5 linked regions of the Kluyveromyces lactis genome follow. The protein of the gene in region 4 interacts with the protein of the main gene of each other region in a pairwise test. Links are inferred from orthologs where the notes say so. Each region holds a gene or a part of one and is shown on either strand. Other genes may lie near its edges.

Region 1 (4,222 bases), on a different chromosome or scaffold from region 4:
GATATTCGCACCACCAGAAAGAAAATATAGCACATGGATTGGAGGATCGATACTCTCTGGATTATCAACGTTCAAAAAGATATGGGTGACAAAAAAGGAGTGGGAAGAAAATCCAAGATGCGTACACGCCAGATTCCTATGAAAAACATTCACGGTAAAACAAGTCAACAAACGAGACAACAAGGATATATAATCTATCATAACTATTTTAAACGCTTTCAATGCAAAGAGGAAAGGTGTAAATGCCATAAAACTGAGAGTACATTAACGAAGAGATTATTTAAAGTGAAAAAAGATGCGAGAACATAAGTATTATAATTGCTGTTTTTGAGTTATGATTGCATTGAGTTTTAACAATTTACTTTTCTAAGCAAGTACGTAAACAATAATGGTCAACAACGATAAGCGAGGGACATTAGCGTAAATGAATGGACAAGACGGCGATTGTGCAAGTTGTCAGGTCGTGAAATTCTATAGAGTTTGCTTAGATGCAGTAGTATCTGTCACCGAAATCACCCAAACCTGGCATTAAATATTTGTTTTCGTCCAAACCTGCATCTATAGCACCGGTAACGATTCTGACATTTGGGAATTTAGCATGGTAGTTATCGATACCTTCCTTGGAACAGATTAAGTTCAAGAAGAAGATTCTTTCTGGCAACACACCTCTTTGAATCAACACTTCGGTAGCCATGATAGCAGAACCACCAGTAGCTAACATCGGATCCAACAAGAAAACGTATCTATCAGCGATATCTTCAGGTAGTTTTTCATAAAACAACTTTGGCATAGCAGTTTCCTCATCTCTTTGAATCAAAATCTTACCAATACGAACCGATCTGCAACAGTCTCTCAAACCTTGTTCCATGGATTCACCTGCTCTTACAATAGAAACACCGCAAATCTTACCTAGGAAGGAACAACCTTCGAATTTCTGGTTTGTGTCAGTGGTAATAGTCTTTGGAGTTACTGGCAAATGGTTCAAACCTTCTTCGACCAACAACCTGATGATTCTATCAGAGTAAAATATGAAATCAGATCTCTTAGTAAGGCTATCTCTGATGATAGTGTACAAGCCAAGCAACTGCTTCGATTGTGCCAATAGATGGACATTAGGAAATGGTTGTGTAGAACTCATATTATTTTCTTTTAGCAGCAGATAAACCTAAGTGAAGTTCGCTTTGATGCGCTAATTGATTGGTCTTCAGTAAAGAGTAAGAATACTACAGAAAATATTATTCAAACAGATTTGCAGCAACAAGCGAAAAGAGAATTTGAAACGTTAAAAGAACAACTCTCACAAGAGATATATACTCACATATATATAAATGAACACCTGGACGCAGTCGGTTTAAAGAATTCAAGATATCTCTCTAATCAGTCGATGCGATGAGATACGGTTTTTTGGTCGAAATTTAACCAAAAAGCTTTGCTGATGTTAGAAAAAAGATTCAATAAGTCACGTGAACGCACATTTGTGCAGATTAGGTCTTGATAAGTGAGATGTAGCCGGTTAGGAAAGTATCTCCGTTGGAGATACTTATTTCATTAGATACAGGTAGAAATGTGGATATGGGCTCATAGTGTGAGTTTGATATAGCACTGAACGTTATATAGCACTATTAATGAACATATATGGTACACTGTTGCTTGAAATTTTTTTTTTTTGGGTCTTAACTAGGTATTGATGATCTCAGCACCTTCGAGGGAACATAGCGAAAGTAGAGCTGTTCCTCTTATGACGACCAAACCAATTTTTTTGGCTTGGTCCTTGTGGATGATGGTTTCATCTTCTGGGTCTCTTGCATATTCGACGGTTTCGTCAAGAACCAAGTTCATTAGCTCGTCATAACCCTTTAGGATTCCAGTGACCAGTCTTCCCCCTATGAACTTGACACGTACTTCTGTGTCCTTATATTGTGCAAGATTTATGATAGACTCACGCTTTGGGCCTTCGAACTTCTTCTTCTGCTCTTGTCTCGGTTGTTGTGATTGCCTCTGCAGAGAAGGGGAATGTATAAACTCTCTAACTGTTAGTAAATTTGAACTTAAAATGTAGAATGGATCATTGTTTTGAGAAAGTTGAAGAAGTTTTAGAAAGCCGTCCTAATTATAGTAGTTAACATACTGCTTCGCTCATTATTAGTAGTTGGTTGGGTGGGGTAGCGCTGTTTGCTCAATGGGTTATTGTCAAAGTGTGTTACTGGTTTCAAATTAACTTTTCATTTAAGTTTACGGAACATTGAAAAATTCGATGTTCAAACATGCCTGGACAAAACGACAAACATTGAACTTACAGCATCGAAGACAAAATAAAACAGAGGATATATCAGCACCGATAATGTCATCTGACGTGGAAATTATATCCGATTTGGTTAACACTCAGATCTTTGTGAAACCTGGTACATCATGGGACCATCTGGGCCAAAGATTGAACGAATTGACCGGTGTTGATGTTCAAGACATGAAATTGGTGATAAATGGCAATGCACAGAACAGCAAGTATTTGAAAGATCTCAAAGACCAGAAAGTAGAGAAAATCCAGTCCATAAAAGTGATAGACACCAACGAAAACAGTTTAGCAAGCCAATTGAAAAATGATTTGCTACATGCTAATAGCGATGACGTTTCGTTCCGATACACCATGGACGATTATGAGAACAGAAGGGATTCTGTATTACAATGGAAAAAAGATAACAAGTTAGGGAAATTTAATCCTGAATACCGCTCTAAGATGGAAGAACAACTACAACTGAATATCGATAAGGCAGAACTATTACAAAAACACGTTGGAGAAAGATGCAGAGTACTGTCCAACGAGGAAACAACGACCGATTCCACCAAGGTCCCCGAAAGAAGAGGATGGTTACGATACGTGGGAAAAGTTCAAGAGATCAGTAATACAGATGTATGGTGTGGAATTGAATTTGACGAACCTGACGGTAAGAACAATGGTACATTCCAAGGAACGAAGTATTTCGGACCAGTAAAAAAGAATTACGGCGGGTTTGTGAGACCTGCCGTTGTTGAAGTAGGTCCTCAATTCACGCCATTAGCTGACGATGAATTGATGCTCACAGATGATGAGTTATAGGGAGTTGATAATTTACATAAGTTTAATTATATTCTCGTCCTTGGCCTCGTGGATGATACTCTGAACTACGGAAATGACACCTGACACACACGTGACAGGGTCTACTACTGAATGAATTCGTAATTGGTTTGAGTCGGGTGTTGTGCCGTAGCTGGTAAAAAGGCCACGTTGCGACTTCGGTTCGAATCTTCCTCAGAACACAAAGTCTCTGTTCATATGAACCTGGTTACAAAAAGATCAAATATGGCAATTCATTTCCTGTTCTCAACTTCATACTAAGCCCTTGAAGCGCTTCAAAGAATATTCACTCTTAAGTATAAGGTGGATGCTCGTTACTTTGAAGTGTTTTGAGAAGAGGTCATGTGATTTGAATGTTCTACTTGATCAGAGGAGTTGTTCTCCTCATTCCAGGTGGGAAATTCGGTGGAACGCAGCTGTCCGCTCGCCGAGGGTTCAAACCCCCGGTGAGTTATAATCAAGCAAATCCCTAACGGGATTTTCGCTTCGTGAGAAGGTTGTTTCTAATGGAACTTCAGCTTGAGCCCTATTGTCGTTGTTATAATAAATCAAGTCGCCAGTTCTTCTCTAATGGAGACCACGTGACATGGGAGGGACAACGGACGGACAGTTTAGCTTGTCATTTACGACAATGCCTAGTTGAGTGCAATGCAGGGAGTCTGCAACTTACGCAGATAACACAATACCGATTACCTTGTGTCTGAGGAGCATCTTTTTTTGGCCAGTCATATGGCAATGAAATGCAAACCTTTCTATATACAGAAACAGAATGAATATACATGGGAGAGATAGTCCTTAAAATCTATGGTAATCGTAGTAGCTACGATAAAATGTTATGATATAATGTTATAATATAATGTTATAATATAATGAAGTATGTACAGAATAAAATTTGAGGTTGGTAGGGAGAATTTCTTCTTTAAACCTTTTAACGACCCATGGTTTGATTCATGGCAGCATTTTGCTCTTGGAAACGTTGACCCACACGTTCACTGTGTTTCAAGAACTTTTCTGAACATCTCATTATACAGTTTTGTTCCTTAGAAGTAAGCTTAGCGGATGTGAAGTCGTTGACACAGTCGCTGAAACATCTTTCGACCAAGTTGGAGT
Region 2 (4,297 bases), on a different chromosome or scaffold from region 4:
GTGGAGAGTTAAAGGAATCGACTTCAAATCAATTCCATTGGATTACTTTCGCTAATGGTATAATTGTCACTTCATGTTTGCTTTTGATCGTCATAGCCATTTTGAAAAGACAGGAAACTGATGGTTCGATTACCACTCAACTAGCTGCGGAATGGTCGAAGGCTAGAGTTCCTTTATTCTTTCAGTTGAATTTGCTCGTTTCTATGGGTATTCATTTCCTTTTCACCACTCTTGGAACTTTGATTATTTCTTGTTCATTGAATCATACCCATCGTATTGGCAGCTCTGTACTCACCTGCGCAGTATTCCTATTTATCAGTGGTAGTTTTACATCATCTTTCATCGGTGCTCTACTTGAGGGGCAAATGTCTCAACATAAATTGGTCAATTCAATCATATTCGGATCAACTCTACCGGGAATTACTTTGGTTATCGTTTTGTTATTGAATTACATACTTAAGGCCAATAATGCTGCAAATACTTTACCCCATGGTACCGTTGCATTACTATTTGGTGCTTATTTCATTGTTTGCGTTCCAATATCAATCATTGGTGGGAAATGTGCCGATAGGTTTTTAAAAGTTAACTCCACAAATACTTTGCTTAATAGCTTTGCATTGGCAGAAGTGAACAAACATGACACTAGGCCTTTGTACGTTGAGAGTAAGAACTCTATTCCGTTCGTCTTAAAAAATCCTATTGCGATCACTCTCACCTTTGGACTTATTCCATTTGCTCTAATATACGTGGAGTTGTTATTTGCTTACAAATCACTTTGGCTACAAAAGACTACTCTGTATTACTTATACGGATTCCTTTTGAGTAATATTGTTATCGTTTGCATATGTATCTGCCTTCTATCCATTATTGGTTGTTACATTCATCTAAACTATGGTAATGATTCTTTGAATTTCAAATGGGACAACGTTATAGGAAGGGTTCTAGAAGCATGTCATTCATGGAGATGGAAGGCATTTCATATGGGTGGTGCAGTTGCATGGTATATGGAAGCGTACTCTATTTTGTATTTGATTTTTGTTGCCAGATACAGAGATTTCATCTCATCTTTCCTATTTGTCTGTTATAGTACGTTATTCAACATTCTCTGCTGGACAGCATTTGGATCTTTAAGTTACCTAAGCTCATTGTGGTTCATCGGTAAGCTGAATGAATATAACAAGGCTAAATAAGTTCGCCTCTTATATTTAAAGTGAGGCCAAAAAAAAAAAGTCCGGCTCTCTTCAGGAGTCTCATATTTCTCCTATATAATACTGCATATCTAGCATGGACTTTCTAAACCAAGCATTTTTGTATAGAGTAATTTAAAAAATAACAACATTTGATCTTTTCCACGGTACCCATGCTCACATACTCTTAATATATAAAGCACTGATATACTGCTTTGAACTTAAGGTTCACTAACTCTGAATCATAATTAATAGGTAGTTCTTTTAATTTCATAACCCAAATTCAGTTTTAAATCTCAAAAGTGTGAAAGGAGTAACGAGAAAAAGGTTTAGGATATCGCATCGAATGCAATCGAAACAGATGTTTTTATAGACTTTTGACCGTCCAAGCCAACAAAATAGTCTCTTTAACCGCAATAAAAGTGATTGAATATGTAACCATGTAGACACACAAATACTTAAGAATTAAATGCTGAGAAAAGAGGTTAAATCAAAATTGTGGAGTTTGATTACTATTGTTTGACGCCTGCGAATACGAAAGCTGTGGATTGGATGATGCATCGTATTGTGATCTATTTTGAATATTATAACGACGAGATCCTGCATTGTTATGGCTGTGAGTATTGTTATTATTATTATTATTATTATTATTGTTGTTGTTGTAATCCCTTCTGTTACCTGAGTTTTGATAGTTTCTTCTACCACCTCTTCTGTTACCATCCCTATTCTGATAATAATTATTGTTATTATTGTAGTTGTTATTTCTTCTTCTATCGTCTTTACCGCCTCTGTTTTGACCCCATTGTTGTTTTACCTTGTCTATGATATCATCTTGCAAATTAACATACTTGATGAAAGAACCTTTCAAATAGAAGCTTGGTAATTTCAAAGTCTCTCCACTAGCTACATGAGTGACATTGGAAAGTGTCAAGTTCATCCAATTGTCTACATCAGATAGCGTACCTTCCACAGTTTCTCCATTTTTTAGTTCAACATGCATTGTTTGACCCTTTGCATTGGTCAATAAATATAATGGAAGCATTTTATGTTATAACTTATTGATCTGTTTTACCAATTATAGTGTGCCCGTGCTGTCGTATTTCTTTAGGTATCTCAAACCGTAGTAACTTAATCGTAGGAAAGGGTGGGGCCGGAACAATATACAATATACCAAAAAATTAGGACTCTGTCTGTCTGGAGAAGGAAAAATGTGAGGGAAAAAAGTATGAATTAGACTTTGTTGCTTATCTGCGTATCTGTAGTTTGAGTTATGTAACACTCCCTAGTAGGACGAACCAAATGCATACAATTGCATTGACAATATTTAAATTCCAATTACAATATAACTTCAGTTTTTCCAAATTTCATTGAGCTGGAAAAAGCATTCTCGACATTTCATAAAATTCATTTACCGGGTAACACTTAAAAGTTTCGAATCACGTGAGTGTCCCGGGTAATACTGACACGTGAATATAATCTGATTATTGATTTTTCTCTTATTTTTTCACTTTTAAGACTGTTTCTGCCCCCCTACTCCTTCGTGTCATACGGACCCTTCTAGGCGTTTTGAAAGGTTGCCTCAGCTTTGAATATGGGAACACACTGGAGTGAGGTTTGAAATGTGAGATCTGAGATTTTTTTTTTGGTGAGGCATCTAATCTTTCTTTTCCCAATTGGGTAAAGAGATTTGATCACAGTTTAAAATAAAGATTATAATCTTTTGAAAGCAGACTTTCTCACGCACTTTACAATGTCATTTATGATTTGTGTATACCTTTGTTATTAACAGTGTCTGTAGGCTACGTGAACTTAGCTAAATATCAGAGCATTCCAGTTGAGATTGATTTGGTCTGCTACTCCGATATCTGGATACATTTTTGGGCACTGGTGGAAAAGCTAGAATAACCGTAACTGCGTGGTATATTTTACGTTGAATTTTACAAAGTGAGCGAGCTTGAGATCACATTGCCAGGAGCAGAAGCAGAAGCAGCAGCAGAAGGTGACACTCGACTCGAAACGCTTTGTTGACTCTGGCGTGCTTTTCTTTGCTTTGTTTTGTCTAAAACAATTAGGATTTCGTGTGCATTTATTTCTTTCGTGTAATTATGGAACAACACTTGTCGCATCATAGCGGCAACGTTTTTGACAAGGAATCTATCCTTCAAATGCACATGGGCACTCATCATCATTCTGAGAATGATACACTTTTGAAACCGTTCAATTCTAATTTATTAGGAGCTAATAGTGGTGCTACCAATAATTCTTCTTCATCCACGGGAGCATCCTCTTCGATGATCGATGAAAGGCAGATCGATGGGAGTTTAAAGAAAATCAGTGAGGAACCTACTATGGCGGAGACAAGTGGTTATGACAGCGAATCGGAAACTTTCATTGAAGTTGCTACATACGCGGGCGTTGATGTATATGAATGTTATACCAAAGATAAACCTCCATGCCTTATCATGAGAAGATGCAACGATAATTGGTTGAACATAACGCAAGTTTTCAAAGCCGGTTCGTTTACAAAGGCTCAGAGAACCAAGATCTTGGAGAAAGAGGCCAATGAAATTAAACATGAAAAGATTCAGGGTGGTTATGGACGATTCCAGGGGACCTGGATACCCTGGGAATCGACTAAATATCTGGTGGAAAAATACAATATTAACAATAAGGTTGTCAAAAGGATTGTAGAATTTATTCCTGATCCAAATGATATGCCTCCTAGAAGATCAAAAGTATCTCAGATCAAGAAATTGGACCCGAATGCAAGGATTACATCACCATCAGCTTATAAGAAAACACCAAAGAAGAATGCAAAGACCCCAATGAAGAAAAAATCTATAAGGAGATCTGGGAAAAAGGATAAACCAGTTCAACCGTCCCCCTTACACAATGTTATGTTTCAAACACCTCAACAGCAACATCATCATCAGAGTCAAAATAGTAACCAAAGTACTGAAAAGCTTCCTAATTTGGCTTCTGAACAAGATACTCCAATGGTACCGGTCAGTAAGGTGAATCCTGATATTATTTCTCAAGCAAACCATCCAATCAAATACCAAACTACTCAGAAACCTTTGCAATTTTATCCATACCCACAAACACACCAG
Region 3 (4,265 bases), on a different chromosome or scaffold from region 4:
TAAACTGTATTCAGGTTCAGCTATGAATAGTATCCATGGCCTGTCCATCGTGAAACGAAGTTTGGGACAAATGAGGGAATATGGTTTTGTGTATAAACTTTGCAGTGAAGGGATCCGAGTTTTTCTCTGCCAACCCAGGATCGTCTTTGTTATAATTAATATTGAAACCTCCGTTCACAGATCTGGGTCACGTGAAGAAAACTTCAGTCACTATTTTACGATATTGGTTGAACTGACATACTACCTTTCGAGGTGCTGAACATTCCTGGATCTTCAGCAATTTATGAGCATCTGAAATTGTCCAACTAGTTTGTTAACGCTCGAGATCAATGCCTGAACTGAATGCAGTTATATGCGTCTAGAACGTTTGTCTTTTAACCTTGAATTAGTGTTGAAAATAAAGAAAGTGCGATTGTTACAATAAAAATAACAATAATAGGGAGGATCATAGTATTTAGCAAGAAAACAATAACGACTTCAAACGTAGGGCTACCTTCAACTAGATAGGAAACGTTGGACCTAGTTCATAGAACGTCGAATTGACAAAAGCTTGTAATAATGGACGAAAATTATGATGTTATCGTCCTTGGGACAGGTCTTACCGAGTGTATATTATCTGGCTTACTCTCAATCGAGGGGAAAAAAGTCTTACATGTTGACAGACAGGACCATTATGGTGGTGAATCATCCAGTGTCACATTAACGCAACTATACTCTAAATTCAAACAACATCCTTTGAGTAAGGAAGACATTGAGTCAAAGTTTGGCAAGGATAGAGATTGGAACGTGGATTTGATTCCTAAGTTCTTGATGGCGAATGGTGAATTGACTAACATTTTGGTTCATACTGACGTCACCAGATATATCGAGTTCAAGCAAGTTGCTGGCTCGTACGTTTACAACAGAGGTAAAGTATATAAAGTTCCTGCTAACGAAATGGAGGCTATTTCATCTTCTTTATTGGGTATCTTCGAGAAAAGAAGGATGAAGAAGTTCTTGGAATGGATCAGTGCATACAATGAAGAAGATATCGCCACACATCAGGGCTTAAACTTGGATCAAAACACTATGGATGAGGTATACTACAAATTTGGCTTAGGAAATTCAACCAGAGAATTTATTGGACACGCAATGGCCCTTTGGACCAATGACGATTATCTGCAACAACCTGCTAGACCATCAGTGGAAAGAATTATCCTATATGTGCAATCGATTTCCAGGTTTGGTAAATCTCCATATATTTACCCTATGTATGGGTTGGGCGAATTGCCTCAAGGATTTGCTAGATTATCAGCTATTTACGGTGGGACATACATGCTAAATACCCCAATTGAAAAGGTTTTATACTCAGACGATGGTAAATTCGAAGGTATTGTCACCAAAGAAGGTACTGCAAAAGCACCAATAGTCATCGCAGATCCAACATACTTCCCTGAGAAATGTAAAACTACAGGTGAAAAGGTGATCAGAGCAATTTGCATCACTAAACAACCTGTTCCTAACACTAGTAATGCTGATTCTTGCCAAATAATTATACCACAATCACAAGTTGGAAGAAAGAACGACATTTATATTGCTACTGTCTCTGACGCCCATAAAGTTACTTCGAAGGGTCATTACCTCGCCAGTGTATCAACCATCATTGAAACTGATAAACCTCATATCGAATTAGAGCCGGCTTTCAAAATGTTGGGCCCAATTGAGGAGAGGTTCATGGGTATTTCAGAAATCTTTGAACCGATCGAAGATGGCACTAAAGACAACATTTACATCTCTAAATCTTACGATTCCTCATCTCACTTCGAATCCATGACCGACGATGTCAAGGATATCTACTTTAGGATTACTGGTCACCCCCTTGTTTTAAAGAAGAGAGAAGATGTTGCAGAGGAGTAAGTGAGAACTACGAGATAACCGTGATGCTAACTTTTGAAAATATCGTACCTTCACGTACTTCTACGTACTTTTACGTTACTTTCTTGTTTCGTTACAATCTTTATCATTATCATTTTATTTTTGTCTATTTACTATCTAGCCCCACATATTAGCTTGAATGTTTTGGCAATAGTTTTATTTCAGCAATCGACGTAAAAATATCCCAGCTAGTCCTCTTAAGTCCAGCAGCTTCTCTACTTCTACATATGAAGTTGTGTATGTCAATTTTGTACATGTATCTTTTTTTTTTCCTTCAACATGAAATTGTTTAAAACAATTTCATGTTGAAATTTGACAATACAACTACAACACATTCAAAAGTCAAATGCATGGACCTCTGAACCAAGGCCGTACTGTCCAGAACCATGCTATTATTTTCATTTTTCAAGACCCTGGTTGATCATGAAGTCAAAGTCGAACTAAAGAACGGTATTGAACTAACAGGTACTCTAAAATCAGTCGACCAATTTTTGAACTTAAAATTAGACAACATTTCGTCCAACAATAATGAAAAATATCCACATCTATCAAGCGTGAGGAACATGTTCATCAGAGGTTCTACTGTGAGGTATGTACATTTGAAGAAATCTATGGTGGATACCAACCTACTTCAAGATGCAACCAGAAGAGAATTAATGAGTGAAAGAAAGTAAACGAAAGAAGCAGCGAAAAACAGGGTTCCTGCTGCAGAAAGGAATAATTTATAACTGTTAAATATCATTCGAGTCTACCACTCTCACACTATTCACATATGTAATAATAGAACACATTACCTATCATGGTGGAACTCCCAAGAGTTTCTTCTCACATTTTGATCGGAGGTGTCCAGTTTCATTGCAATAAGAACATTTAATGTTGTTAGCTTTAGACTTTCGTTTTCCAAATTTGGCTTGTTTAGGAGTTCTTTGTACTGGAATTAGAGCATATTCTTGACCGTCTTTCTGAATAATCTCAATTTGTTTCGAAATCATTTTTGAGAACTTCTCTTTATCCAGTTCAACGGATGTAATCATCGAGATGAGCTCATCAACGTTCTTCAGTTTGTTCTCGTATTCCTCTTTTAAAGACGGGAGAGTCGACTGCTTTTTTTGGGACTGAGATAACACTAGTTTGGCTAGTTGATCAAGCGCCTCAGACTGTTTAATAATCTTGTCTGCATCCGCCATGATAGAGCTTGTGGTCACTGGGGTTATCCGATACCACACTTCCTACTCTGGTGGTCCTGAATTTGATCCTATCTCTCTATCGTTCTTTTTTCACTTAGATTCCATAGTGAAAGTGAAAATAAAAAACGACATCGGACAGGGACGGATGTGACCCCGTGAGAAGAGGTGGAGTCGCATTTCCTTACGACTATATGCTCATTTCAACATACGAGATATACATATATACCATGCAACTATTTTTAGGTTGATTTGTCTTACTATCACAAACTTTTCTTTGTTCTTGAACAGAACTGCCCTTTACGAGGCGTAATTAATAGTTTGCGATTCCAATTTCACATCAGCAGGGTTCGGAGCCGCCTCATACACTGCAACAATTGGAACTCCTGAATTTCTTAGTTTCCCTGTCGCTTCACCTCTTAACTCACAGAAATATAATCTATTAAGGTCATCCTCATCACCCGACCAGTTATCCTTCACTAAGACAGTCAAGTTCTCACAATTCTGGAAGATATTCCTTGGCAAGTCAAACTTGATAAATGTGTCATCATCAAATAATGATTCATTATTATAATCTGGTTCAATACCGACGTTGTCTGGAAACTCGACGGTGTACTCCGCCTTCAGATCGTTTATGGTATCAAAGTCCAAATTCTTATTGTAGTTCTTATACAACTGAATGTGTCTTGGTGTACTATACCCTGATCCACCCTTGTTAACTCGTAATATAATTGCAAATATTTTAACAGATGCAGTAAAGGGAATCTGAAGTAACACTTGACAGTCTGCGTCTGACTCTAAGTAAAGGGAAGTATTATACTTCTCATCTTGCGGCTTCAAAAAGCTTTTTGAAACCAAACTTGACCTATCATTGCTAACTCCATTCAGGACTTGTACTTTTGTCATGTCAATATGTGTATATAGGGACTGGTTAGAGAACGTTTCTGCAGGTGGTTCATGAGAATGTCCATGATCGTGGTTATGACCATGTCCGTGATCATCGCCATGACTGTGACCGTGGTCATGGTTATGAGAATGCAACTCGTCTTCACAACTGAAGCCTGACATTGTGGTTATATAGACAGATAACTTTTGCTCTTGTTATTCTATTCTGGCCATTACATTCACTTTTTAAACCATCCTATCTCATCTCATCAAATCACATGA
Region 4 (5,905 bases):
TTTGAAAACAATAGCTTACGTAGTTCCAAGTCATAAGCATCACTGGTAGCCAAGAATCTTGGCCCAAATTCGTCAAAATTAGCTCCCCTTAGAGGATGGAACCCGCATAATCCTGGGAAATTGATATGGTCGTAGACACACATTAAATCCCCAGCCTTAAAGGAGGCATTGATACCACCGGCTGCATTTGTTACGATCAAGACATTGATTGACCCCAACAAGTGCAATGCACGGATAGGATGCACTGTTTCTGCTAAGGAATGGCCCTCATAAGAATGCAAACGGCCATTCATTAAGACGACAGGCGCACCGTTCATGTAGCCAAAGATCAACTCACCACTATGTCCAGGTACGGTGCTGACTTTGAAGCCAGGAATGGTCGAATAAGACAGAATCAATGGCTTTGGTTCATCAGCGATCTTGGTTGAGATTCCACTTAAACCAGATCCACAAATCACAAGAGCCTTTGGTAAAAACTCGGATGAGAAGTGATCCTCGAGTTTCTCTGAGATGTATCTGTGAGCAGACTTTATAAGAGCACGTTGCTCATTGATGTCAAGTGAGGACATGTTGGTTCGGTGAGTCTTACTGGGATCTTATTTAGTCCCGATTGGGTTTGTTTGGTATTATTATTTTGGTCTACCTTTTTATCTTAAAAATCATTTGATAAGCTTTAAAGTTTAAAATGCAGAGAGATGATAGAATGAAAGAAGATGATGAATGGGAAAGGTGCTCCAGAAATCTGATAAGAGAAAAAGTGTTATTTGACGATAAGACCGATACTGCCATAAATTGGCGTTGTTTTCAATCTGATTGCGTCTGTCACAACTCCGCAGAACTGCAACTCAACTGAATCAGTCTGTGTACAATTAAAATGCATTTATATACATTGTGGGTACATAAATTAGAACCTTACTGCACGTCATTTGCAGCACATGGTGATTCCCACAGATTTCACTTGAGCATATGTTTGGAGTTCTCACCCCCATGGTATTGACAGCCGTACTATCCAGGGACATAGCTTAAGTGATTCAACAGGCAACCATATACTAGCATAATAAGTTGTGCTGGTCGATATAGTAATATAAGACGGAGAAAAAAAAAAGAGAGGATAAGTAGATTGAGTAGATTGATTGGCTATATTGTATGATTGAGCCATCACGGTTAAGACCGGCCAGTTTAGTAATACTGATTCTTTTGAAATTATCGTAGTAGGACAGGCGATTGGAATGAATGGAGGAAGAAGCTGATTGATTAAATTTACAGGCGATAGCGCCTGAAAAAGAAAAAATGAAGGCATTCGTATTCCAAACCTGGGCATACAAGCAAAGGTGGGGAACAAAGTCCAGGAACCTTTAGTGGAATTCGTAGAGATGGTTAGTATTGAAACCCACGATTCATATTAATTCAGGGCAAAAAGAATAAGACCCTATAGAGCAACCAAATAAAGTGTGCTGAAAAAGTGCATTGATTATGATACATTTAGTTATAGTCAATTTTGGTTAATGTACAATCAACATTAGTGAGATTTTTGAAACGCGCAAGGATTGTCGAGTATTTGAAAATATTCAATAGCGTCTAGAGGTACAATATGCGTGGTATGTGGACAAAGCCTAATTTTTTAACAAATACAAAATAATGACAAGAACTGAAATTGGACCTGAATTTCAACTCATAGGATCGACTTGGGTTTTGAGTAGTAAAAGTGGGAAATTAAGATAAAAAAAAAAACTGCTCCGTTAGAAGCAAGCATTAAAACAATGCTTAATTCATTATTGAGGAGCTTGAGTGTATTGTTGTTGTGGGAAGCCTTTTGATGGGAAAGGTTGAGGTGGATAAGCCTGTTGTTGGTAGTTTTGCGGCATTAGAGGCTGACCATATTGCTGTTGTTGTTGGTTTGGGAATTGTTGATATTGTTGTTGTTGTTGTTGCTGTTGTTGTTGCTGTTGCTGCTGAGGAGGAGCATGGAATTGCACTTGAGTTTGTTGAGGAGGCAACGGTTCAGCATTTGCAGGTTGTTGGGGAGCATTTGCAGTGATTGGCAGGGATTCCAAAGGGAATGGGATTGGGACTGCGGAACTATCTTCCGCAACGTACAAGGATTTATCAATTTGAGATGGGATAGGAGCAATTTCGGTGTTTAATTCTTGCTCGATCTTGTACAAGTTGAATCTATCGTTCCAGTTAATCAAGTTGATAGCCAAACCCAAGTGACCGAACCTACCAGATCTACCAATACGATGCAAATAAGTTTCGGCAGTCTTTGGGAAATCGAAGTTAATGACCACATTAACGGCTTGAATATCGATACCACGAGTTAACAAATCGGAACAAACCAACGTACGAACTTTACCTTGGCGGAATTCATGGAAGACTTTGTTTCTTTCGGATTGTTTCATTCTAGCATGTGAGTAGTAACAAGAAAATCCTAATTCAGTAATTTTTTTAGCCAAAAGTTCGACACGGTTAGTAGAATTACAAAAGATAATTGCTTGGTTGATTTGCAATTTACTGAACAAAGTGTTCAAGCAATGAAGTTTTTGTTTTTCTTCCACGAATGCATAAAATTGTGATATACCCTTTAGTGTCAATTCATCCATCAAATTAATCTCATGAGGGTTTTTCAAATGCTTCACCATGAACTCTTTCACGGTGACTGGGAAAGTCGCACTGAACAAAAGCAGTTGACGACGTTCTGGTAAGAACCCAAGTATTTGTTCCGCCAACACTTTAAAGTCACGACTTAACATCTTATCCGCTTCATCCATAATGAACAAATGACATTCGCTCAAATCTGTCACTCTTCTTGATGCCAAATCTAGCACTCTACCGGGCGTACCCACCAAAATGTGTACAGGTTCATTTAATCTCATGATGTCATCTCTCAAATTCGTACCACCAGTGGTAACCATACAAGAGATACCACAGTGTTTCCCTAGCGTGCGCACCACTTGTGATGTTTGCAAAGCCAACTCTCTTGTAGGAACCATAATCAATGCTTGAATTTTGTTCAACTTGGGCTTCACTTTTTCCAAAGTTGGTATAACGAACGCTGCCGTCTTACCAGTACCGTTCTTGGCACGCGCTAATATATCCTTCCCGGCAATGGCAACGGGAATAGCTTCTTCTTGGATTGGGGAAGGCTTCTCAAACCCTGCTTCAAATATACCCATCAAAAGTTCTCTTTTCAAATAGAAATCTTCAAACGAACGACCCTTCGTGTTCAACACATCATCAGTCTGAGGCCTCGTATCCTTTTTAGGAATATTCAACTGGGTCTTCCAGTCGTTATTACTTTCGCTTGTATCGCTGCCCATATTATCAATTATCTTTAATATTCTTTGCAGATAAAGTTAAACCTTCTTAAATAAAGCTTCAATGAATTAGTCAATTAATAAAATTAGTCAATTAGTGTATATCCGGAAACTATGCTGTTGCTAATATCACAGAGTAGAATGTATAAATACTATACCTATGACCATAATACACATGTTATACTTTTATTTCCTCTTGTGCCTCTGTAATAATTGTTCAAATTAATTCTAAACTTCATAATTTTTTCTTCTTTCCAGAGTGGAGGGAAGAGCAATGTTACCCTACTGAAGCAATTACAAGTGCGGGTAACGGATATCACCCTTTTCACAAAATCCGAATTGTCACGTGATAAGAAAAGTGAAGACATGTCCGGGTAACAAATATGCCAAGGGCTAAGCTCAGCACCGTGAGGCTTCTCTATCACTTGTAGCGATAAGGTACGATGCAGTGCGAATAATGGGAATGCCTAGACAAAAATATATATAGATGTATCAGCGCATATGAGCGTACGTTGAAATGAGAATGCTCGAGGCAACTAGGCATTCCCATTACGTTCAATAGCAGAAGTGACTTCCTTTCATTTTCTTGTTCTATTCGTGGTTCCGTTGAGGACCACACTAATTTATCATGCACCGTATAAATAAAAAGTAGCGTAATAATTAAGTAATGATAAAGAAAGCCTATACAAGGCTAAGCAGTAACTCAGAAGAAGAAAGAGACGATTACTGAGGCAGCAAGGAGTGTTGCAAAGAGCCAACGTGTGTTGTTTTTTGGAACCTGGTGGGGTCTTTCTATTAGGGTTTCTAGTTGCATTTTAATTTTTGTCTCATTTTACAATCATCTGAGCCTGTAAGTTTGGCTTTGGTATTAATATCTATTATTGATCGTAAAACTTTAATATCTCCAAAGAGAAGAGGCGCAGAAAGTGGTGAACATTGAGGTCAGATTGACTTAAAAGCATATGATTACACGTACCCAAAACGGCTCGATGTTATTGAATCGAATAAACCATGAACCGTCGAATGATAGTGCAGAGGGATCGTGCAATAGTTTGTTCAAACCGAAGACTTTGAAACGGAAGAATTTGAAGCATTTGACTCTAGAATCATCATGTTCATCATCATCTTCCTCTCCTGACGAAATACCGAAAGGTTTTAGTAATGGAAATGGTCCAACACTCAGTTTGATGTTGGAGAAGCTTCCGGTCCGTGAGGAAATAAGTCCAATTAGCAGAGACACTTCATTCCAGACGGTTTCATTCCTTCAAGGGAGTTCTAGTACATCAGATATATCTTCCATTGTCAGCGGGACTACACCAACCACAAGAGATGCTCCAATGTCACTTACTCCTACAGGAGTCAGTATGATGCAACAGGAGACAGATGAAACGGCCACATTGACTACTCAGATTGCTCGACTTTCTTTAACCCCAGAGAACGGAATTCAACTCGAAAACCTTGTACGATTGAGCAAGATTGGAGCGGGAAATTCGGGTACTGTGGTGAAGACTTTGCATGTACCTGATTCTAGAATCATAGCTAAGAAAACTATACCAGTAGAGAATAAGGAAGTGCTGAAAAATCAACTTGTTAGAGAACTAACCATCATGAAAAATGTTTCAGCCCATGATAACATTGTTGGTTTCTACGGTGCATTTTACAATCCATCCACCACTAACGAAATAGTGATTCTTATGGAATATATGGATTGTGGCTCGTTAGATAAGATTTTGTCAGTTTACAGATCTGATTGCCATAGGAAAAACGTTTCTATATCGTGCAAGACATCGTGGTTCAACGAAATGCCTCTCTCAAGGATCTCCTTTTGTGTTTTAAATGGACTTATCTATCTTTATGACTGCTATAAAATCATTCACAGGGACATCAAACCGTCCAATATATTGATAAACTCGAAGGGAGACGTAAAGATCTGCGATTTTGGTGTCTCTACTACTCTAATTAACTCTCTTGCGGATACCTTTGTCGGAACCTCCACTTACATGTCACCTGAACGTATCCAAGGTGGCAGATATACTACTAAAGGTGATGTGTGGTCATTAGGTCTTATGATCATCGAGCTCAGTAGTGGTGAGTTCCCACTAGGTGGACATCACGACACACCAGAAGGGATTCTTGATCTTTTACAGAGAATTGTCAATGAACCTGCTCCAAAACTGTCAAAAAATGAACATTACTCCATAGAAATGACAGATTTCGTGAACAGGTGTTGCATTAAGGAGGAGAGAGGACGATCATCTTTGAAAGAATTGATATGTCATGATTTCATCTGTAAGTATAACAACAGAGACACTATTGCAAAAGAATTCAGGCATTGGTGCAAAAAAGTGAAGAAGCGGATCAAAGAGGATAAGATGATAAGAAGAGAAGAGACAGAGAGAAGTAAGATCGAAAAAAGACAATTAGAGAAAGCAGCGTTGGCTGTTACAGCCGCAAGGTCTTCGAGTACAAGGCGATGAAATAAATTAAGAAATTGCACTATATTAGGATAAATTGATGTCCTAGTTTGCATCTCATCTCAATAACGATCATTATTACAGGAACGGACTATGGATCAGTAGCATAAAGAATTT
Region 5 (5,284 bases), about 220 kb from region 4:
GCTCCTGACCGTAGATGGTTTGGTAATACCAGAGTTATTTCTCAGGATTCATTGAGCCATTTCAGAGAAGCTTTGGGCGAGAACAAGCGTGATTCTTATCAGGTGCTATTGAGAAGAAATAAACTTCCGATGTCGTTGTTGAACGAAAAGGATTCCGCTGAATCTCCAACGGCAAAGATTTTGGAGACAGAGCCCTTTGAACAAACTTTTGGGCCTAAGGCTCAGAGGAAGAAACCAAGAATCGCTGCGTCGTCGTTGGAAGAGTTGATTTCAAGTACTTCTACCGATAATAAGACTTTTGAAGAAAAGCAAGAATTGGATTCTACTCTGGGGCTTATGGGTAAGCAAGAGGAAGAAGACGGTTGGACGCAGGCAGCAAAGGAAGCCATTTTCCACAAAGGTCAGTCGAAACGTATTTGGAACGAATTGTACAAGGTTATCGATTCCTCCGATGTCGTCATCCACGTATTGGATGCTAGAGATCCTTTGGGGACTCGTTGTAAATCGGTGACTGATTACATGACCAATGAGACTCCTCATAAACATTTGATATACGTCTTGAACAAGTGTGATCTTGTTCCTACATGGGTTGCCGTATGTTTTAAACTTTCTTTTTAATCTTCAGTGATTACTACTAACCGATTATACTTTCTAACTGGGAGTGAATACCACAGTATCTTGAGAATACCAAAATTCTTTGTCAGGGTGTTTCTGCGTACATTCTAGTACAACTTACACATACAGAAGGGCCTGTTACAGTTTTGGAAGAGCAATACTACCCACCCTCGATCTATCCATCGTTTTGATGGAGTCATGGTTGAAACCTAGTTGAACAATCTTCGTTTTGAGGATATATCAGCGCTTTTATTTCGGGTACGGAGGAACTTAAGAGTTGAGCTTTGGATCTGAAAAGAATTATTATGCCATGGCTCGTAGTAAAGAACCTCACATCACCACTAATATACTCAATACAGCATGGAGTCAACCCCCAGTAGAAAGCATAATTGGTTATTGATTCACATATGTGATTACAATTTTACTAACACGATTTTCCCTATTTTTGATTCTCAACAGGCAGCATGGGTAAAACATCTATCGAAGGAACGTCCCACATTGGCATTCCATGCCTCTATTACCAATTCATTTGGTAAGGGTTCGTTAATTCAACTTCTACGTCAATTCTCACAACTGCATAAGGACAGACATCAAATCTCTGTTGGGTTCATTGGATATCCAAACACCGGTAAATCCTCAATCATCAACACTCTAAGGAAAAAGAAGGTCTGTCAAGTGGCACCTATTCCTGGTGAAACTAAGGTGTGGCAATACATAACTTTGATGAAGAGAATCTTTTTAATCGATTGTCCCGGTATTGTACCGCCATCCAGCAAGGACAGTGAAGAGGATATTCTATTCAGAGGTGTGGTAAGAGTTGAACACGTTTCGCATCCTGAACAATACATTCCAGGTATTCTAAAACGTTGTAAGAGACAACATTTGGAAAGAACCTATGAGATCTCCGGATGGAAAGACTCTGTAGATTTCATCGAAATGATTGCAAGAAAGCAAGGTAGACTATTGAAAGGTGGTGAACCAGATGAAAGCGGGGTATCGAAACAAATCTTGAACGATTTCAACAGAGGTAAGATCCCATGGTTCGTACCACCACCAGAGAAGGACAAGATTGAGGAAAAGGAACCTGGTGATAAGAAACGTCCTGCAGAGGAAAATCAAGAAGATCAAGAAGAGGAAGAGAAGGAGCAAGAGGAACAAGAAGAACCTGTTTCTAAAAAGGCCAAAAAGGAATAAACCAAACACTTCCTCAATATTTAATTCTCTCCAGACACGGGCATCGCTTTATATATAGACACACCATATACAATCTTATCGGATCTATCGTTTTTGTACATTAATATCAATCGGATGACTTAGGCTAAGTCTTGCACATAGAAATTTATTAAATAAATAGTAGAAAGGCTGGATAACACCGAACGTTGTGAAGCATGCAGATCAGGGGCAGAAACACTGGACAATGGACCCATTCGGGTCCACTGTCCATTGAGAAGTGGTGCCAGTGGTAATATCAACACCGTACACAATGACATTTCCCTCGAAAATTCTGTTTCTGCCAAAGAGGAACGAAACAGGAAAGCCTTTAGCATTAGATAAGGAAGAGACAGAGACATATATGGTTGGAATACGATTCAATTCTGATTTAAGAGTTGTCATTTAGGACTACTCCAGTAAGTACGATAGAATTTTAATGCAATCTCTTAATAGTCAGCTCGGAGGATTGCCAAATTCGGAGCAATTTTTCGGGAAGGGCGCTGTTCAGCAGCAAGGGCCAGTTGGGATGAACGGGATGCTTTTCTCCCCTTCTATGAATAGTACTCGTATGATGCCTCAACAGTCGCAACAACCACATGTGCTGCATGGGCTTGAGAACAATGGGGGTCTTCAAAATTCGTACTTGTTGAAACAGAAGATGGATGTGGTAAACAGTGCTTTTGGGCAGCAAAACAACTTACAGCAGCAGCAGCAACCGGGAAAAATGCCGTTGCCGAATAATGGGCAAGTTCCTATGATGATGCAGAACAGCATTTCCGGTGGTAACTCTAATAACAATACGATTCCACAGCAGATGCAATTTCCAATGCCGGTACAACAACAGGCAATGGGAAACGTGAACGGGCTTGATACAACACCATTACCTAATGCATCTCATACGCCAATCTCGTCTCCAGCGCATCTTTTGATCAGAGAAGTGTGGCAAAACAACGTAAACTTCGAGTTTGCCATAATCCGTAAAATGATCGAGCAATACAAAGTTATTTCTATAAGCACCGAGTTTGTCGGTACGATAGCGAGACCCATTGGGAATTTCCGCTCAAAGACAGATTACCATTACCAGACGATGAGATCCAACGTGGATCTACTAACCCCAATCCAGATTGGACTTTCGTTAAGCGATTTACAGGGGAATAAACCAGACAACTTCCCATCCACATGGCAATTCAACTTCCATTTCGACGTAACAAAGGAGACCGTGAATTCGGAATCGTTAGAACTATTAAAGAAATCCGGTGTCATCTTGGAGAGACATCAACAGAACGGTGTTGATTTCGACGAGTTTGCTCAGTTGATGATGGATTCCGGGTTATTGTTGAACGATGAGGTCACGTGGATCAGTTACCATGCAGCATACGATTACGGGTTCTTAATCAACAGGCTCATGAACACAAACATGCCCAACAACAAAGAGGACTTCGAATGGTGGGTTCAGAAATACATACCAACGTCGTACGATTTGAACCTAATTAACAAGTTAGTTCATGAGGTAACGCAACAACACCCACATCCACCACCATTACATCTATTACAAAGTCAACAGCAACAGCAACAAAACCAACAACAGCAATATACACTAGAACTACTGGCTGACGAGTTGGGGATTCCGATCTTCCCATTGTTCAGCAGCGCAGCGGGACAAAGTCTCTTGGCACTATTGGCATACACCCAACTCGGTAAATTGTCTTTGTACAAACTACGCAATGGAACAGATTTCAGTTACTACAAGAACCTGATCTACGGAATCACACAGGAGTAATATATGTGATTTTTATGTGCCAGCCTTTCATATAGAGTATCATCAATAATGCATTTATGTATGTGAATATATATATATACATACACAATCATTCTTAAAATAGGGTATAAAAGGTGGCTGACTAGCCACCGTCACTGAACTGAACTGATGCTGACCAGTGCGAAACCCACAGGTTGCAAGAGCGCAACCTGTGTACTTCATTCACCTGGCATCTCGTGAGGCATGATTTCATAAGATGATTGACGAGTTTTCCATTAAAAAATTTTGAAAATTGACTCTTTACATATAATCACTAGATGCAAACATGCACATACTTTGCTTGTGAGGGGCGTTTCTTGTTGTTAGGGTGTCTATTTGGTTCGCTTATCGGTTTTCATGCATTCATTAGAAACCAGACTTTAATCTTTAGCGATAAGTTTGAAGCGTGAGGCACATATACGGTGTTCGTAGTGCTGAAATTTCCCGTGAGTCTGGAAAAAAGCACCCATAGGAAATTAATACTTTTTTGTTATTGTATTCTAGTATACCCTATACTTTCCTGCTTGAATATCCACCGTTAATACACTTGGATTAAAACGTTGTTAGAGCGTTATTAGAGCGTGCTTTTCCCTTCTTTTTTTTTTTTTTGTTTGACAGTTTTATTTTTAATTCATTCAAAGGTCTTTCTGATTGACAACGATTGACTGTATTGCATTCATTTCATACACTTTAGCATTCCAATTTGATTTTTTGATACCCGCGATCGGTTTGAAATTGAGAGTTATCAAAGAATAGTTGAATTCTTTTACAAGAACCAGTGTGTTTTTTCCTGTTTAGATTAATTTGATACAATCACATTTGGTTTGGAAAATATGACCACTTACGATGTGAAAGAGATCGGATATGCGTTCCTAAGGACGTACTATGAACGTATGCATAATGATCCATCGAAATTGTCGTGTTTATATTCTACCACGGCGGAATTGACCCATGTGAATTATAATGAACCTATCAAGCATGACAAAGATTATTTAAACACCGTCAAGTTGATTGGTAAGGATAACATCAACAATTTCTTTACCAGAAACAGCAAGCGTGTACAGGATTTGAAGGTCAAGATTGATTCGTGTGATGTGCAATCTACTGGGTACGAGAGTTCTTCGATTCTGATATTGATATTAGGGGAGCTATGCTGGACGGATTCACCATCTTACAGATTTTGTCAGTGCTTTATCCTGGAACCAGCAGAGTATAACAGTAAAGTCTACGATTTGAAAAACGATATCATTCGTTTCATTCCTGACCTTGCTCCATTAGTGAACCCAGACCAGCCAGTATCACCACCATCTGCTGTTGTTGTTGAAGCTGAGAATGAGAAGCCAAATGTCAACGGGGACGCAGCTCCTGTTTCTGTTCCTGTATCTGTTTCTCCAGTAGTGGTAAAGGCAGCAGCGAAACCGGTTGAGATTGTCAAGCCAATTCCAACTGAGAAGCAACAGCCCTCTACTGCTCCAACGGAAACAAAAGTGGAACAACCCCAAGCCGTTTCAGTAAATAAAACTAAACCTAAGGAAAATGAGGCGATTGCGCCAGCTACTGCTCCTGCTGCTATTGCAGAAAAAGAAAAAGAAGACAAGGAAGACGAAGCACAAGCACAACCAAAAGAGCAAGCGACTTCAGCATCAGCCACCCCAACCT

The links. The genes of interacting proteins can lie anywhere in the genome.
Region 1: the proteins of DHH1 (region 4) and LSM7 interact in binary tests that used the Saccharomyces cerevisiae proteins (3 or more experiments, as listed by UniProt). The link is inferred for Kluyveromyces lactis from reciprocal best matches to the Saccharomyces cerevisiae genes DHH1 and LSM7.
Region 2: the proteins of DHH1 (region 4) and LSM4 interact in binary tests that used the Saccharomyces cerevisiae proteins (3 or more experiments, as listed by UniProt). The link is inferred for Kluyveromyces lactis from reciprocal best matches to the Saccharomyces cerevisiae genes DHH1 and LSM4.
Region 3: the proteins of DHH1 (region 4) and LSM2 interact in binary tests that used the Saccharomyces cerevisiae proteins (3 or more experiments, as listed by UniProt). The link is inferred for Kluyveromyces lactis from reciprocal best matches to the Saccharomyces cerevisiae genes DHH1 and LSM2.
Region 5: the proteins of DHH1 (region 4) and POP2 interact in binary tests that used the Saccharomyces cerevisiae proteins (3 or more experiments, as listed by UniProt). The link is inferred for Kluyveromyces lactis from reciprocal best matches to the Saccharomyces cerevisiae genes DHH1 and POP2.

The regions. Positions count from the first base shown.
Region 1 is NC_006041.1:2,036,199-2,040,420, reverse strand, and holds LSM7 (Sm-like protein LSM7), read right to left. Parts: upstream 2,141-4,222; coding exon 2,129-2,140; intron 1,999-2,128; coding exon 1,678-1,998; downstream 1-1,677. Other genes in the region: ARP1 (actin-related protein 1), read left to right, coding at 1-142; FUR1 (uracil phosphoribosyltransferase), read right to left, coding at 485-1,138; ALF1 (Alf1p), read left to right, coding at 2,342-3,094; protein transporter TIM9, read right to left, coding at 4,041-4,222. UniProt on the Saccharomyces cerevisiae protein: Component of LSm protein complexes, which are involved in RNA processing and may function in a chaperone-like manner. Component of the cytoplasmic LSM1-LSM7 complex which is involved in mRNA degradation by activating the decapping step.
Region 2 is NC_006041.1:1,854,319-1,858,615, reverse strand, and holds LSM4 (U6 snRNA complex subunit LSM4), read right to left. Parts: upstream 2,230-4,297; coding exon 1,678-2,229; downstream 1-1,677. Other genes in the region: TMN3 (Tmn3p), read left to right, coding at 1-1,190; SBF complex DNA-binding subunit SWI4, read left to right, coding at 3,293-4,297. UniProt on the Saccharomyces cerevisiae protein: Component of LSm protein complexes, which are involved in RNA processing and may function in a chaperone-like manner. Component of the cytoplasmic LSM1-LSM7 complex which is involved in mRNA degradation by activating the decapping step.
Region 3 is NC_006042.1:853,756-858,020, forward strand, and holds LSM2 (Sm-like protein LSM2), read left to right. Parts: upstream 1-2,300; coding exon 2,301-2,588; downstream 2,589-4,265. Other genes in the region: KLLA0_F09163g (putative hydroxyacid dehydrogenase), read right to left, coding at 1-48; GDI1 (Gdi1p), read left to right, coding at 559-1,896; KLLA0_F09229g (uncharacterized protein), read right to left, coding at 2,712-3,101; KLLA0_F09251g (PITH domain-containing protein), read right to left, coding at 3,399-4,166. UniProt on the Saccharomyces cerevisiae protein: Component of LSm protein complexes, which are involved in RNA processing and may function in a chaperone-like manner. Component of the cytoplasmic LSM1-LSM7 complex which is involved in mRNA degradation by activating the decapping step.
Region 4 is NC_006039.1:1,451,067-1,456,971, reverse strand, and holds DHH1 (DExD/H-box ATP-dependent RNA helicase DHH1), read right to left. Parts: upstream 3,318-5,905; coding exon 1,773-3,317; downstream 1-1,772. Other genes in the region: PNP1 (purine-nucleoside phosphorylase), read right to left, coding at 1-569; mitogen-activated protein kinase kinase STE7, read left to right, coding at 4,277-5,791. UniProt on the Saccharomyces cerevisiae protein: ATP-dependent RNA helicase involved in mRNA turnover, and more specifically in mRNA decapping by activating the decapping enzyme DCP1.
Region 5 is NC_006039.1:1,667,970-1,673,253, reverse strand, and holds POP2 (CCR4-NOT core DEDD family RNase subunit POP2), read left to right. Parts: upstream 1-2,263; coding exon 2,264-3,607; downstream 3,608-5,284. Other genes in the region: putative GTPase NOG2, read left to right, coding at 1-594, 1,075-1,809; BRE5 (Bre5p), read left to right, coding at 4,459-5,284. UniProt on the Saccharomyces cerevisiae protein: Acts as a probably catalytic component of the CCR4-NOT core complex, which in the nucleus seems to be a general transcription factor, and in the cytoplasm the major mRNA deadenylase involved in mRNA turnover.